3 linked regions of the Schizosaccharomyces pombe genome follow. The gene in region 3 interacts genetically with the main gene of each other region. Each region holds a gene or a part of one and is shown on either strand. Other genes may lie near its edges.

Region 1 (4,496 bases), on a different chromosome or scaffold from region 3:
ACTTAAAAGTTGAAAGGCTAAGGGGTCGTATCCTGCACCTAAATTCACTATTGCCTTTCTTTTGCCGGTTTTATTCTTCAAAAACTGGTACACTGCAAATCGAATAGCCATGCATCGTGTCCAATAACCTCTATTTACGCTTGGCGATCTTCTAGGTGATTTCTGTATAAACGGTTGATAATAAGAATGTCCTACGGTAAAACCTGGATATCCACATTTTTCAACTGAGGCTTTTGAAAGAATTGAGCTGTCATTGGTTTTACGAACTTCTCTATCTTTTGACTTAGTTTTCCTTTGATTTTTGTTTGACATTGTATATGAATAAAGAGAAGCTCATTTAATCTTTCGAAGCCTTGAGAATTTTTGCAGTTAAGTTACACAAGCTTACGAAGATTAGTGGAAAGGAATTATAATATTGATCAGAAAACGACAATACCAATATGACCGGAATTGCTTAAAGTTTTACATAATTCGTGTAAATCGTAAATTACTAGTTTAAATTTTATATTTAATTGAAATGTTTTATTGAAATTTGATTGTAAATAAAACAATAACTTTTAGATTAAATATTAGCATGGACAGTAAGCAAATAAGAAAATAAATAGTACTCTAGTGAATTTTTTCGGAAATATCTAGAGCCAAAAAGACAAAAATGATTGCATTGAAAATGCAGATGGCTAAATTATGCCATAAATCAAAAAGTATGACGGATTTTTATTTTTCATCCTCTTCTACTTCTTCTTTTCTACTACGCCTTTTTCTTGCAGTTAAACGCTTTTCAGCTCCGGGCGGATAATATCCATCTCGAGTTTGATCGTATTCAGGCCCCATAATTTCAAGAGGACATGGTGGATTTTGTAACTCATAACGTCTACACAATTCAAATACAGCCTGTTCCTTTTCCTTAGCTTCTATCATTAGATCCATTGTAGGATCACACGGTGGAAAGTCAAACACCCTATCAGAGTGAGCACGTCGTTTCATCCCAGAAATCGCCGTTGGATCAGCCGATTCTGAGTAATGTTGCTTCTGTGTAATTCCCTTTCTTGTCCAGGTTTCTCGAATAGTTGGGATTAATGGCATTAAATCTAAACTTCCTTCACGAAGCGTTCCTGGCACTATGTTGTGATGATGCCAATCCAAAACTAGAGGAATATTAAGTTCTTGGCATAAAGGTAATAAATCTTGAACTGACCAAGAAACATCATCGTTTTCTAAAACTAAACGAGCTTTAACCGAATCAGACAAGCGTTGATAATTTTTACGAAACCTATCCAATGTTTCTTTTTTTCCTTCAAAGGTACCACCAAGGTGAATAATTAAAACAGCGTCTTTATTTAATTGTTCATTCAACTTCATACGACTGAGAATTTCATCATGATAAGCCAAATCACGTATTGCCGAATCAACTACGACTTCTCGTGGAGAGGCTATCTGGGTGTACTGACCAGGATGCATAGTCAATCGATGATTATATTTATTTGCCAGCTTGCCCACCTCCTCGAGATGAGATTGTGCAAATTCAAGGGTATATCCATACTTTGCATGGCTTGCGAAAGGAAATAAATCAGAACTCACTCTCATGAAGTGAATGCCAAAGTTGTGATTCCACTCAACCAATTTGATTAAATCTAAAACATTTTGCGTACCTAGCTGCTTGACACTTTCGAGCCCATCACGTTGAATGGTTGTAATTCGGCAGGTGCGTGAACAAAAAACCCTCTCCTTCATTGACCTTAAAATAGTATTCAAACAAGCATACCCCAATCGTCCTCGCCAGGGTATGGGTTTGTCCAAACAATCAAACATCTCTCGTGGAGCATGATCATCAAGATTCATTGTAGATTCTTTTTCTAAATTTTTTGCAGAAGAACGAGACCGTCTTCGTTTAGAAATTGGAGTTTCCAACTGTTCCGGCACAACCGGTTCGAACTCGTCAGAGCTACTTTCATTTTTAAGAGACTTTTCGTCGACTTCTTCAACATACTCCTCTTCCTCTTTTTGTTTAACTTTTTTAGTAGCTTTACTAATTTGCTCCTCCGATTCGGATTCTGACGAGGAATTGTAGTTGACCGGTTTTTTTGATCTCGACGATCGCCTAAGATGAGTTGAAGAATCATAGGACGCAACAGACTCATCAATTTTATCGGAAACAGAATCTGTCGCTTTCTTTTTACTGCTACGTGCCCTCTTTCGTGTAGACGTAGAAGTACTTTTTTTGTGAGGTCCACTGATATTAGCTAACTCAGTCTCATTTTCTTTTTTTAAGTCGACTGGTGTTTCGGCAGAGAATGAATTCGCACCGATATTAACTTGCGGTAACATTGAGAGTGTGGTTTTTGAGCTCATTGGAAGTAAACTTTTAAGGGTATCGGGTAAACAATGAAAACGAGAGTAAGTAATGGTACAAACCGACGGTACACAAGGATGATTACCTTTAAATGCCTTTTGTTTTAATATGGTGAAAACAATGCGTTTAGAGATTTGAATATTTCGTTTCAATAGCCTAAGCATTAAAAAATGAAAACGATTTTAGTATCAATATGACATTATTTAGAAGGAAATAAGCCCTTCGCAAACTTGCTTATATCCCTACAACTATTATCTTGTAAGTGAAAAGAGATATCGACAAGAAGTGATTGAGACTCAATACTAGTCAAAATCAACGAGTGTGAAGACAAATCTTCTTTCATTCCCAGTAAACCAAAAATGGTTTTGTATCATTGTTACGTCAAAATTCGCTATGATTTTATTGGAAGGCCATGAGATTACTGATGCTCAAGGGATTCAACTTTTGACAGTTATTGTTCAGTGTAGATAGGACTGCTTTTACGAGGAAATTTTGGTTTCTCAAATCGAGCTTAGTTTAGCAATACAATGTTAAGTAAAAAGATTGTGTTGCTTTCTCTTTAATAATTGCAGATTCAGTTGAACAATCAAAAAAACAGCAGATAGGAAAAAACATTTGAAATGAAAATTTGGCCAAGTCAAGGAGTCGCGACAATTTATTTTACCATCTGTAGCATATGTGTGTATGGGAAGCAGAAGTAGGCGGATTCGGGTCATTTATATTGTATTATGAACCGTCTTAATGCTGCTTTCTGCTGACATGGACATCTTTAAAAATATACAAACAATTACCGTGTAATTCACAATAGATTTAATACCATCAGCATTAATGAGTTGGTTGAGAAGCCATCATTGCGAAATCGCAATGTAGGTAGAGTAAACGAAGCGAATTGTTTACGATAAAATACAGTATATCTTTAGAACCGTAGATAGCTGCATCAGCGAAACGATTGGTTTTTTCTGCAAATACTATTACAACCAGTAGCATGAAGAACGCTTCTTACTGCCGCATCGTTTTTGCCGACCTGGCTGATCGATTGACAAAACAAACTTCTAGCAGAAATAAATGATCAGCGCTTCTTATATTTAACATTTGGCAGCGTGCTGCCCGCGTGTGAATATTTTCCTTAAGTTTGTATCCCAACAGAAAAGCGTAAAAAATTGGAACCACATTGAATCTTCAAATAAACAATATTAACATTACATTTCAGCATAAGCATCGACTATACATGACCTCGAGGTGTTTAAAGAATTAGTAATTCTTGCTTTGCACATAGTTTATAACGAAGTACGTCCTAGCATCACTCGATATTATCATTTAAGGTAGCACCACTATTGCTCTATACAATCAGCTATTACATAAACGTTGTAAGAGAGGAATTATACAAACGTCGACGACGGCGATTAATTGTTACCTTTCCCCTTAATTGAATACCATGACTGAGAATGAGAAAAGCAGGTCTTTACCTGCTGAAAGGTTCGTATATTTAAAGAAAACGACTAATTGATATTAGAAACCCTCTCTATAAAGACGATACACTTGACCGTACGCGCTTCCCGAAATTACGTGAAACTAATATAGCAGATACACCATTAATCCCAAAGTGTCGCGCTCAGGTAATAGAATTTCCTGATGGACCAGCTACTTTTGTTCGTCTCAAGTGTACAAATCCGGAATCTAAAGTGTAATTATCTTTTTTTTGCAGTGTTGTTTTTGGAAAAATACTAATGATGTATATAAATATAGACCTCACTTTCTTATGAGGATGGCAAAGGATTCAAGCATTAGTGCTACGTCAATGTAAGCGTTTTTTCATATCTTTTTCTAAAAATCTAAACCCGATTAGGTTTCGTTCAGCTTTCCCTAAGGCTACCCAAGAAGAAGAAGACTTGGAAATGAGATGGATTCGTGATAATTTAAACCCAATTGAAGACAAACGTGTTGCTGGACTATGGGTGCCTCCTGCAGATGCCTTGGCTCTTGCCAAAGACTACAGCATGACCCCGTTTATTAACGCCTTGTTAGAGGCATCCTCCACTCCTTCAACTTATGCGACTCCTTCACGCCCCACTGCGCAGAAATCAGAGACATCTGAGGGGGAACCTGAATCTTCGACATCTGCCACTACCACTTCTGTTGCTAGGCG
Region 2 (3,417 bases), on a different chromosome or scaffold from region 3:
AATCCCGCATTTGCGTAAAACCAAGGGTACTATTGTGATTGTATCCTCTGGCGCTGCTGTTCGTGTTTTTCCCGCGTGGGCTGCATATTGTTGCTCAAAGGCCGCCATCAACATGCTAGTCATGAACCTTGGCAGCGAGGAGCCTGATATAATGAGTGTGGCAGTACGTCCGGGAGTTGTTGATACCCCTATGCAAGTTAGTATCCGTAATGATTCCAATAAAGAAGCCATGGGTGGAGATACTCATAATTTTTTCAAAGAACTTAAAACATCCGGTCAACTTGTGGCTCCTCAGGACATCGCCAAAGCTCTTTCTTTTCTAGCCTTGAATAACAATCCAAAGCTTACTGGTCAATTCGTAGAATGGAAATCATTTGTCTAGATGTTCTATAGTTTATTGAATTTCGGAGTTAGAGGCTACAATTGTTCGTTTAAATAAAACAAAATGAATAAATTAAACATTACATCAAATAAAAGTAGCTGAAAATAGTCCCAAAAAATGATCATGATTACTAATATTGATAAACAAAGCTGCAACAACATCTCAATCATTCATTAATGGTGACTATTCTAATTGGGTATCGTTGTCTTGGGCGACAAAAGCATCATCAGCTGTATCTTGAACATATGGATCTCCGCTCGTCAAATTCACTAATGAATTGGAAGATGGACCAGTAAATAATGAAGCATTAGAGTCCGAACCATTTTCAACAGCAATTTCATTAATCCAACCACGACGTCGAACCTTGACGGATCTGTGTTTTCCTAGAGTTTTAAGATACGATATTGAGTCATCAAACGTGGCTCTTGGATATAACTCATGAGTCCATATATGATACATTCCCAATAGTTGTTTTAAGTCTTTTGCCTCATGACCCTTTCCTTTTAACTTAACTTTGCGCATCATTTTCCTTAATTTTGGAATTCCATTTTCAGAAATCAATCTAAATAGGGAAAACGAGTGGTCAATAATTATTTTCCGAAAACCGACCAAATTCTTACCTTTCTTCATCAAATTTTGCCAACCGTTTGCGAGGTTTTTTTACAGAATCTGGATTTTCTTCTAACCCTAAATCAAATTCTTTTTCTTCTTCATTCTTTTTCACCTCTTCCCTTTTGTTTTCCTCGACGAGTTTTTCAACACCTGAATCAGAAGCAGCTGTAGACATTTCTTATGGTGTTTTTTTAAAATATATATTTGCTTGTATGTTTCGCAAAAGAGAGTTAGTGAATGCAATAAATATCGATTTGCTTGCTGTTTCGCTTCAAAAGTTCTGTTAATCTAGCAATTTTTCTATGTACTATTGACTTTACTGCTAATGAAAAGCGAATAGAACCTTTCAAATTTAACTGCGCAGCAAGAAAGGTTTATAATTTACTAATGAAAGAAAATTCCTTATTTAACGCGGATTAGAAATGTGTAGAGGAAGAATAGTTCAGAAGGCTCATGTTACACCTGGACTATATACTTTTATAAAATTTTGTTAAGAATGCTCATAAATTATAGCTAATTTTTGGAATTGTGATAGACGTATTTGAGTGATAGTGCTCGCTGCTAATACTAGTATAACAATTCTCAACGTAATCATTTTTGAATCGTTTCGGAAAGCATAATAAAGCAACTTTTACCCTTTCTCTTTCAATTAACATACTTTCCTTCAAATTTCTTGCATTCGTGTAGATTTCTTTTTTTGAATAAGTGTTTGTCATTAAAGGTTTAGGCAATGGCTTCTAGATATCGTGTTGAGTATGCGTTAAAGCAACATCGGAAGGACGATTTTATTGAATGGATTAAAGGTTTGTTGTCAGTTCCTTTTGTTTTACAGGCAGGAACCCCTTCACAGAAACTAGTAACGCGCGAAAAAGAGCAGGAAACGCTTGAGCGTTACGCTGTAATTTTAAGAGATGTGGAAAAACTTATTGAGGCTCATAGTAAGTTTCCCCTTCATTCTTTTAATTTTCTAACCTTTCTCATTGATAGTTCAAATAGTTTCAGAAGGTGGATCCTATAGCCAGTTAAAGATGCTTGTTCCATCGATCACCATATTTTGGACACCTTTGCCATTAGTGAAAGCTATGTACGCGTTGGAACCAAAGCTTTGTCTAGCTAAACGAAGCTTTGTGGCACCGAGTTTTAACGATGTCAGGGCAATATTAGGAGGTGCTCAATTGAATTACCTTGCGGATAATGGCTTGGATATGGTCAGTTTTGATGGAGATGTAACTCTGTACGAAGATGGGCAGCCTTTGCTTCCTGACAATCCTGTTATATCCCGTTTGATTCAGTTACTTTCGAGGGGGATCTATGTCATCATTCTTACTGCTGCTGGCTATCCCAGTCGTACTGGCCAGGAGTATACTGATAGATTTTCAGGATTATTGCAGGCAATCGAAGACAGCGACTTGAAGGATGGGCAGAAACGGAAACTTCATGTATTAGGAGGCGAGAGCAATTACTTATTTGCTTATGACCCACTGCATGGTTTACAATGGGTGGATGCTGACTCATGGATGCTTCCCGTGATGAAAACATGGCCTCATGATGAGATTCTCGAAATTTTGGATACTGCTGAAGAAACTCTTCGTTCTTGCATTCAAGGACTTAACATTGATGCAAAAATAGTTCGTAAAGAAAGATCAGTTGGATTTGTACCTTCCCTTGGTCAAAAACTGAGAAGGGAGCAACTGGAGGAAGCTGTTTTGGAGACACAAGCAACGTTGCAGATACGAAATTTCTCAGTTCCTTTTACTGCTTTCAATGGTGGAAATGATATTTGGTGTGATATTGGTGACAAGAAATTGGGTGTTTTATGCCTTCAGCATTTTTTTAATATTTCCCATCCTTCTCGCTGTCTGCATGTTGGTGATCAATTCTTGTCAGCTGGTAACAATGATTATAAAGCGGTAAGTTTGAAATAAACTTTTGTTGAAGATTACTAACCACCTATTCAAAGAGAGCTGCTGCTACCACTGTTTGGGTATCCAGCCCCCACGAGACGATTGAGTTTTTAGATTATTATTTCTCTTTTTTAAAAAAGTAATTTAATTAGAGGAGAGATCTTATACTGCAAACACATTCGTAAATATTCTTCTTATACTTCAGCAATGCTATACTATACTTATAAAATGAATACCCATATAAGCGTTTTGACATCAAAAGATATATGATCGTTCAATACATTGTTAATCTTTGATTTTTGATATCAATTTCTTTGCTAATTTTAATAGCGCATTATGCAATGTAAGATTTGGAATAGCATTAAATCTGAATACATGAATTTCACATCATAAAAACTCTAAATAAATGAAGACAAAAATAGTGATAACTCAAAGAAAGATACAGTATGTACTTGATTAGTTTTCAGAGTAACTTTAAGACATGAACGATAATTTGCCATAGAAGCAAATTCTAAACAA
Region 3 (4,711 bases):
TCACTTTATCTGACGATAGTCATGGACCACATCAAGTTGGCTTGAATTATCATTTGGCCAAGTCGTATCTGGACAAATGCGGTATTACAAGCCTCTGTATGATAGAAAAGGGCCCCGATGGTAATGGCACGGTGGTTAAAAATGTTACGGTCGACAATGTTTGGTCTAAATTCGTTGGCACAAACGGAATAACTAACACATAGAAGTAATACAGTTTAAATTTGTTTCCGTATTGGGGCCATTTTTGGACTTGAAATTTTTTTACAAGGGAAATTCAAAAGTACACTGTTTGGTCACCTGAAGTATAGTAACTAGCTATTCACCATATTTCAATCACTTCGTATGAAATGGCCGGCAAAGCTTTTGTTGTGGTGGATGATGATCCCATTTATGAGGAGCTCCCGTTTAACAAGACTGTTTGTTTTACACGAGTACTACGATGTCTCAATATTTGTTCCACTTGCACATGAACTATCGATTGCTACGATACATAGATTTCTGTCGCTTAAAATTGTATTAATTGTACATTAACTCAATTGAGTAGGCCGACTAATGGCCAACACTACTGAAACCAATTTAAGGGAAAAAACTATTCTAAATAAGAGATAACCATGATGTGACGTTACAAGCAAAGCATGGGTGGGACCATTGGGCTTTCGTCAAGCTTCAACCGAAAGTGCAAGGAGGATTGCTTGCAAAACATATGACAGTACCTGTTTCAAGCTTGTTTGAAGGGAAGAACGATAGTCGTACGAAATTGGGATAAAGCACGAAAGCAAAAAGGACAACGAATTAGTGCGAAAGGGAAAGAGGGCAAAGGCAAATAGCGGTGGAAAGCGAAAACAAAGCAATCACCGAAACTGTTTGAAGGAGGACAAAAAATAAAAAAAAACAAAGAATTTAATATGTCCGGATTGAAAGAAAAAAAAATCAATATTAGTTTAATAACGGAAGAGACAAGAAAATGCGGAGAAAATAGAAGCAACCCAACTAGCGCACATACAGAAAGGCTTCGTTGCCTTTTTATTTGGAAAGGGGCAAAGATACCTACGAGGAAGGAAGTAACCAGCTTTACCGAATGATTCGCCTTGCACACAACTAGGAAGAGGGAGAAATGAAAGATATTTACATCAAGCAGACCGTCAGTCAAAAGTAAAGAAGAAAAAAAATTTATATTCAACCGCTCAACATAAGTTAAACAAGGATTGAGAACGAAATTCTCGAAGAAAAGAGGTTGTGTGTTCACAGGTAGGAGGAGGATGGGCGGAAAAGTTGGGATTAATGGTCACCAAGATTAGGAGAGATGCTAGAATGGAGACCGCCACGAATGGCATTCATATTAGCGCCCATGTTGGCACCCATATTAGTGCCCATGTTAACGCCATGGGGAGCGTAAGCAGAGGGAGGCTCGAGCTTGGACAACAAATCGTTATGATCGAGAAGTTGTTGAAGGCGCTTATTTTCGGCAAGAACTTCATCCATTTTAGCATTTACCTGCATTAATTTTTCCTCATTATCGTGAAGATGTTTGGAGAGAAAGTTGACCTTGGCGACAAGCATGTCGACGTTTTGTTGCTCTTCAGTGAGCTTCTTGAGACGTTCATTAATTTCATCATTGCAATCACACTTGCGCTTGCCAACCAAGAATTTTTCGCGATACTGTTGGAGCTCGCTGAGACGGGCCTTCCATTCATCGCAAAGTTGGTCGAGCTCATCCTCTTCGGGAGTGGTCTTCATGCCGGGTTGACGATGGGCCAAACGCTGTTCGTAGACGCGCATGATGGAGATGATTTGATTGCGACAGGCGGACTCGGTATGAATAGCGAGGCCCTCGTCCTCATAACCGATACGGGCGATCTTGGCGTAAAACTCACTAGTTTTACGGTCGACGAGTTCGTGCTTGTGACGCACGACTAAGCGCATGAGCTTGATTTTTTCCTCCAAGGACAAGTGAGTACGCTGTGCCTTGGCGGGAGAGGAACTGGGAGATAACGAAGCATTCTTTCGTTTATAGCTCTTCAGTTCCATCTTGGGAGCTTCCATAGAAAATAGGGGATCCGTCTTGAATAATTTATAGGTGGAATTTGGATTCGATTGTCCGAAATCCAAATTGCCGCTAGGGGAAGAGTGGTGTATAGTTAAAAAAAAAAAAGAGAAAAGGAAAGGAAAGGAAAAGTTGTCGCAGAAAGCTTTTGCTTTGGATATAAAAGGAGAAGGATGAAAATCGACCTTTTATAGAAGAAAAGCTAAGTGAGAGGAGGAGAAAAACGAGACGAGATGGAAAAGCAATCGAATCGTATAGGAGGAACTAACAAGATAGTAAGTATACTATGTACTAGACGAACAGTATAAAAGCAAGGTAAAAAAACAGAGTCGAGTCGAGTCAAGTTAAGCTAAGCTAAGCAAAAGAAAACAAAGCAAAGCAAAACAGGAGAAGAGTATATAGTAGAATAGAAGTTTGTAGTAGAGGTGAAAAGACGCTTCCAGTCGTAGACAAGTAGAGCCAAGCTGATCTGACTGGTGAGTCAACACAAGTAGAAGAGGTAAGAGAGGTTTTCCAACAAAGGCAGGGCAAAGCAAAACAGAGGAAAGCAATGCAAACCGATTTTGAATGAAATTATTTAAGGATCTGAACGAAGGCAAGTCCTACACGACACTGCAATACGATGGAGAGTGTGTTGGAGGTGTTGGTAAAGCGTTCGTTGGGATGCGCAGCGAGGTAAATAAGATCGAGTGCCACCAAAACGCAGGCACGGTCGGTAATGATGACATACGGTATCGCTGGTAAACGGTCACAACGAGGGATGGGGAGAGAGCCAATGAAAGCGAGGAATAAGGAGGGGCGCCACATCTGGAACGTGCGATAGCGATGAGAATGGAAAGACTAGCAACGATGGTGGCGTCATGTGGATTGCGTATTATTGGATAAGGAGGTGCTGATTTGCCGGCTCCCAGGAGCGGAATTAGTGAGATGGAAGAGTGGGTGGAAATGTGAAGATAAGAAAAGATTGCACAAACGAACAAACCCAACGTTCCAGTGGGTTAGGGGAGTGATGAAGGGGGGGAAGAGGGATGCCCGCAGAGTAAAGCAAGGAGGGAGAGGGAGGGTATTAGAGGAGATAAGGAGATGAATCATAGCGTTGTAATTGGAATAAGGAAGTGAATCAAGTGTAGTAATTAGAATAAGGATAAAAATCACTTTGTAGTAATTAGAATAAGCATGTAAATTACATTGTTGTAATTGGAATAAGGAAATAAACCACAGTATAATAATTAAAATAAAGTATGTTGAAACTTTTTTTTTCTTATTCTTAACATTCCTTATTGTGCGCTTTTCTCTTTCCTTTTCTACTCTAGGGCTTTCTTCCATACACTTTTTGCAGTGTGGACATTCATTCGATTGCAGTATGGTCGCCACTTTTATAGCAGAGAAAAAGAAAGAGAAATAATAGAATAAATAAAAGAAAAGAAAATAAAAATACAATCAAGATCAAGTATTTTTTTTATTTTTTTCTTTCTTTTCTTTCCTTTCTTTTCTTTTATTTAAACATTGTTAGACCACACTTTGTTTCACCTAAATGCATCATTGCTAGCAATCGACAAAAGTTGCTGTAAGCATTTATGAATATTGGTTGATCATTCTGATTTTCAAGAGTTTCATTGAGTAATCTGAGGTCGACCCTTGAAATGTATGGTGTTGAGTCTGTATGGATTGCTAGAATTGTTGGTACCATTCGAATTGTTTCTACCTTGTTGCAACGAAACAAAACTTGGAGGGGGAAGCAAACGAAAAAGAGAGTAGGAAGGAGTGCAGTAAATGAATAGGGATGTAGAGGGAGAGACAGTAAAAGACGACATAGAGAGGCAGTAACCCGAATAAGGCTTTAGAAAGAGTATACTAAAAATAAATAAGACTATAAAAAAAGTGCAGTAAAAAATTAAGAACTTGGAAAGAGTCAGTAAACCGATTAAGAATCTAGAGGGAGAGCAGTAGAAAGAGTTTTGATAGAAACTAAATGATTCAACTCGCACACATATATATATGTAAAGTAAAATATACAGAGTGTGAAATGATTTACATGAAAACACTTGTTGGGTATTGTAATAAAAAACAATTCGCAGGTAAACAAAGAATAACTAAGAATCAAATGAGCCACAAGTTTTCTATTTATTTAATTTTAACTTGTTTTTTGTCTGACAACAATATTATTTTCATTTATTTACTTGTTTGTTCAAATTGTTGTAAACAAAGACTAATTTAGTGATTACTCTGGGTGAAAGAATGAGCAATGCAAAATAAAAAAATAAATAGAAAATAAAAAAAATAAAATAAAAATAAAATTGATAATTAAAAATATAAAAAATAAAATTAGGAAAATAAAATTAGGAAAATAAAATCTTGAAAAAATTCACTTTATAAAAAAAAAAAAAAATCAAACTAGAATGCATTTTGTAAAGGTCTTGTATTTGTCATCTCTTCAACACTGCAAACGTCGCTTCAGCATTTTCCCTGTATTCTACCTGAAAAAACAGTATATACAAAATTCCGCCCTATCAAACACATCGTATCCTCTACAATATCTCTACTTGGCTCTTTTCCACTTTAACATTACAATCTTTCTGCTGCTTGCACATTTAATATTTCTATCTTATTTCGTTAAACGATCATGAACCAAAAATACAACAAAGCGTGCTTCCAACACAAGACATG

What was found. Genes that interact genetically often act in the same process or in processes that back each other up.
Region 1: mutations in sap1 (region 3) and uve1 impair growth when combined (synthetic growth defect), as found in Schizosaccharomyces pombe (one study listed by BioGRID).
Region 2: of sap1 (region 3) and swi3, extra expression of one rescues a mutant of the other (dosage rescue), as found in Schizosaccharomyces pombe (one study listed by BioGRID).

Annotation. Positions count from the first base shown.
Region 1 is NC_003423.3:2,837,072-2,841,567, forward strand, and holds uve1 (endonuclease Uve1), read right to left. Parts: upstream 2,515-4,496; coding exon 715-2,514; 3' UTR 501-714; downstream 1-500. Other genes in the region: tRNA methyltransferase Ppm2, read right to left, coding at 1-312; integral nuclear inner membrane protein Bqt4, read left to right, coding at 3,786-3,826, 3,864-3,895, 3,935-4,034, 4,097-4,150, 4,197-4,496. UniProt on the Schizosaccharomyces pombe protein: Endonuclease for the repair of UV-irradiated DNA. Involved in the excision of cyclobutane pyrimidine dimers (CPD) and 6-4 pyrimidine pyrimidones (6-4PP) which forms the UV damage repair (UVDR) pathway. Also functions in oxidative damage repair in vivo.
Region 2 is NC_003423.3:3,090,359-3,093,775, forward strand, and holds swi3 (replication fork protection complex subunit Swi3), read right to left. Parts: upstream 1,499-3,417; 5' UTR 1,170-1,498; coding exon 1,003-1,169; exon of another isoform or gene 945-1,002; coding exon 566-944; 3' UTR 501-565; downstream 1-500. Other genes in the region: SPOM_SPBC30D10.05C (sepiapterin reductase), read left to right, coding at 1-382; isn1 (IMP 5'-nucleotidase), read left to right, coding at 1,725-1,932, 1,982-2,904, 2,955-3,041. UniProt on the Schizosaccharomyces pombe protein: Forms a fork protection complex (FPC) with swi1. FPC coordinates leading and lagging strand synthesis and moves with the replication fork. It is required for programmed fork-pausing which is necessary for mating-type switching.
Region 3 is NC_003421.2:561,075-565,785, forward strand, and holds sap1 (switch-activating protein Sap1), read right to left. Parts: upstream 2,693-4,711; 5' UTR 2,044-2,692; coding exon 1,279-2,043; 3' UTR 502-1,278; downstream 1-501. Other genes in the region: SPOM_SPCC1672.01 (histidinol-phosphatase), read left to right, coding at 1-203. UniProt on the Schizosaccharomyces pombe protein: Binds to sequences required for mating-type switching. Makes a simultaneous contact with both the alpha and beta domains of the switch-activating site SAS1.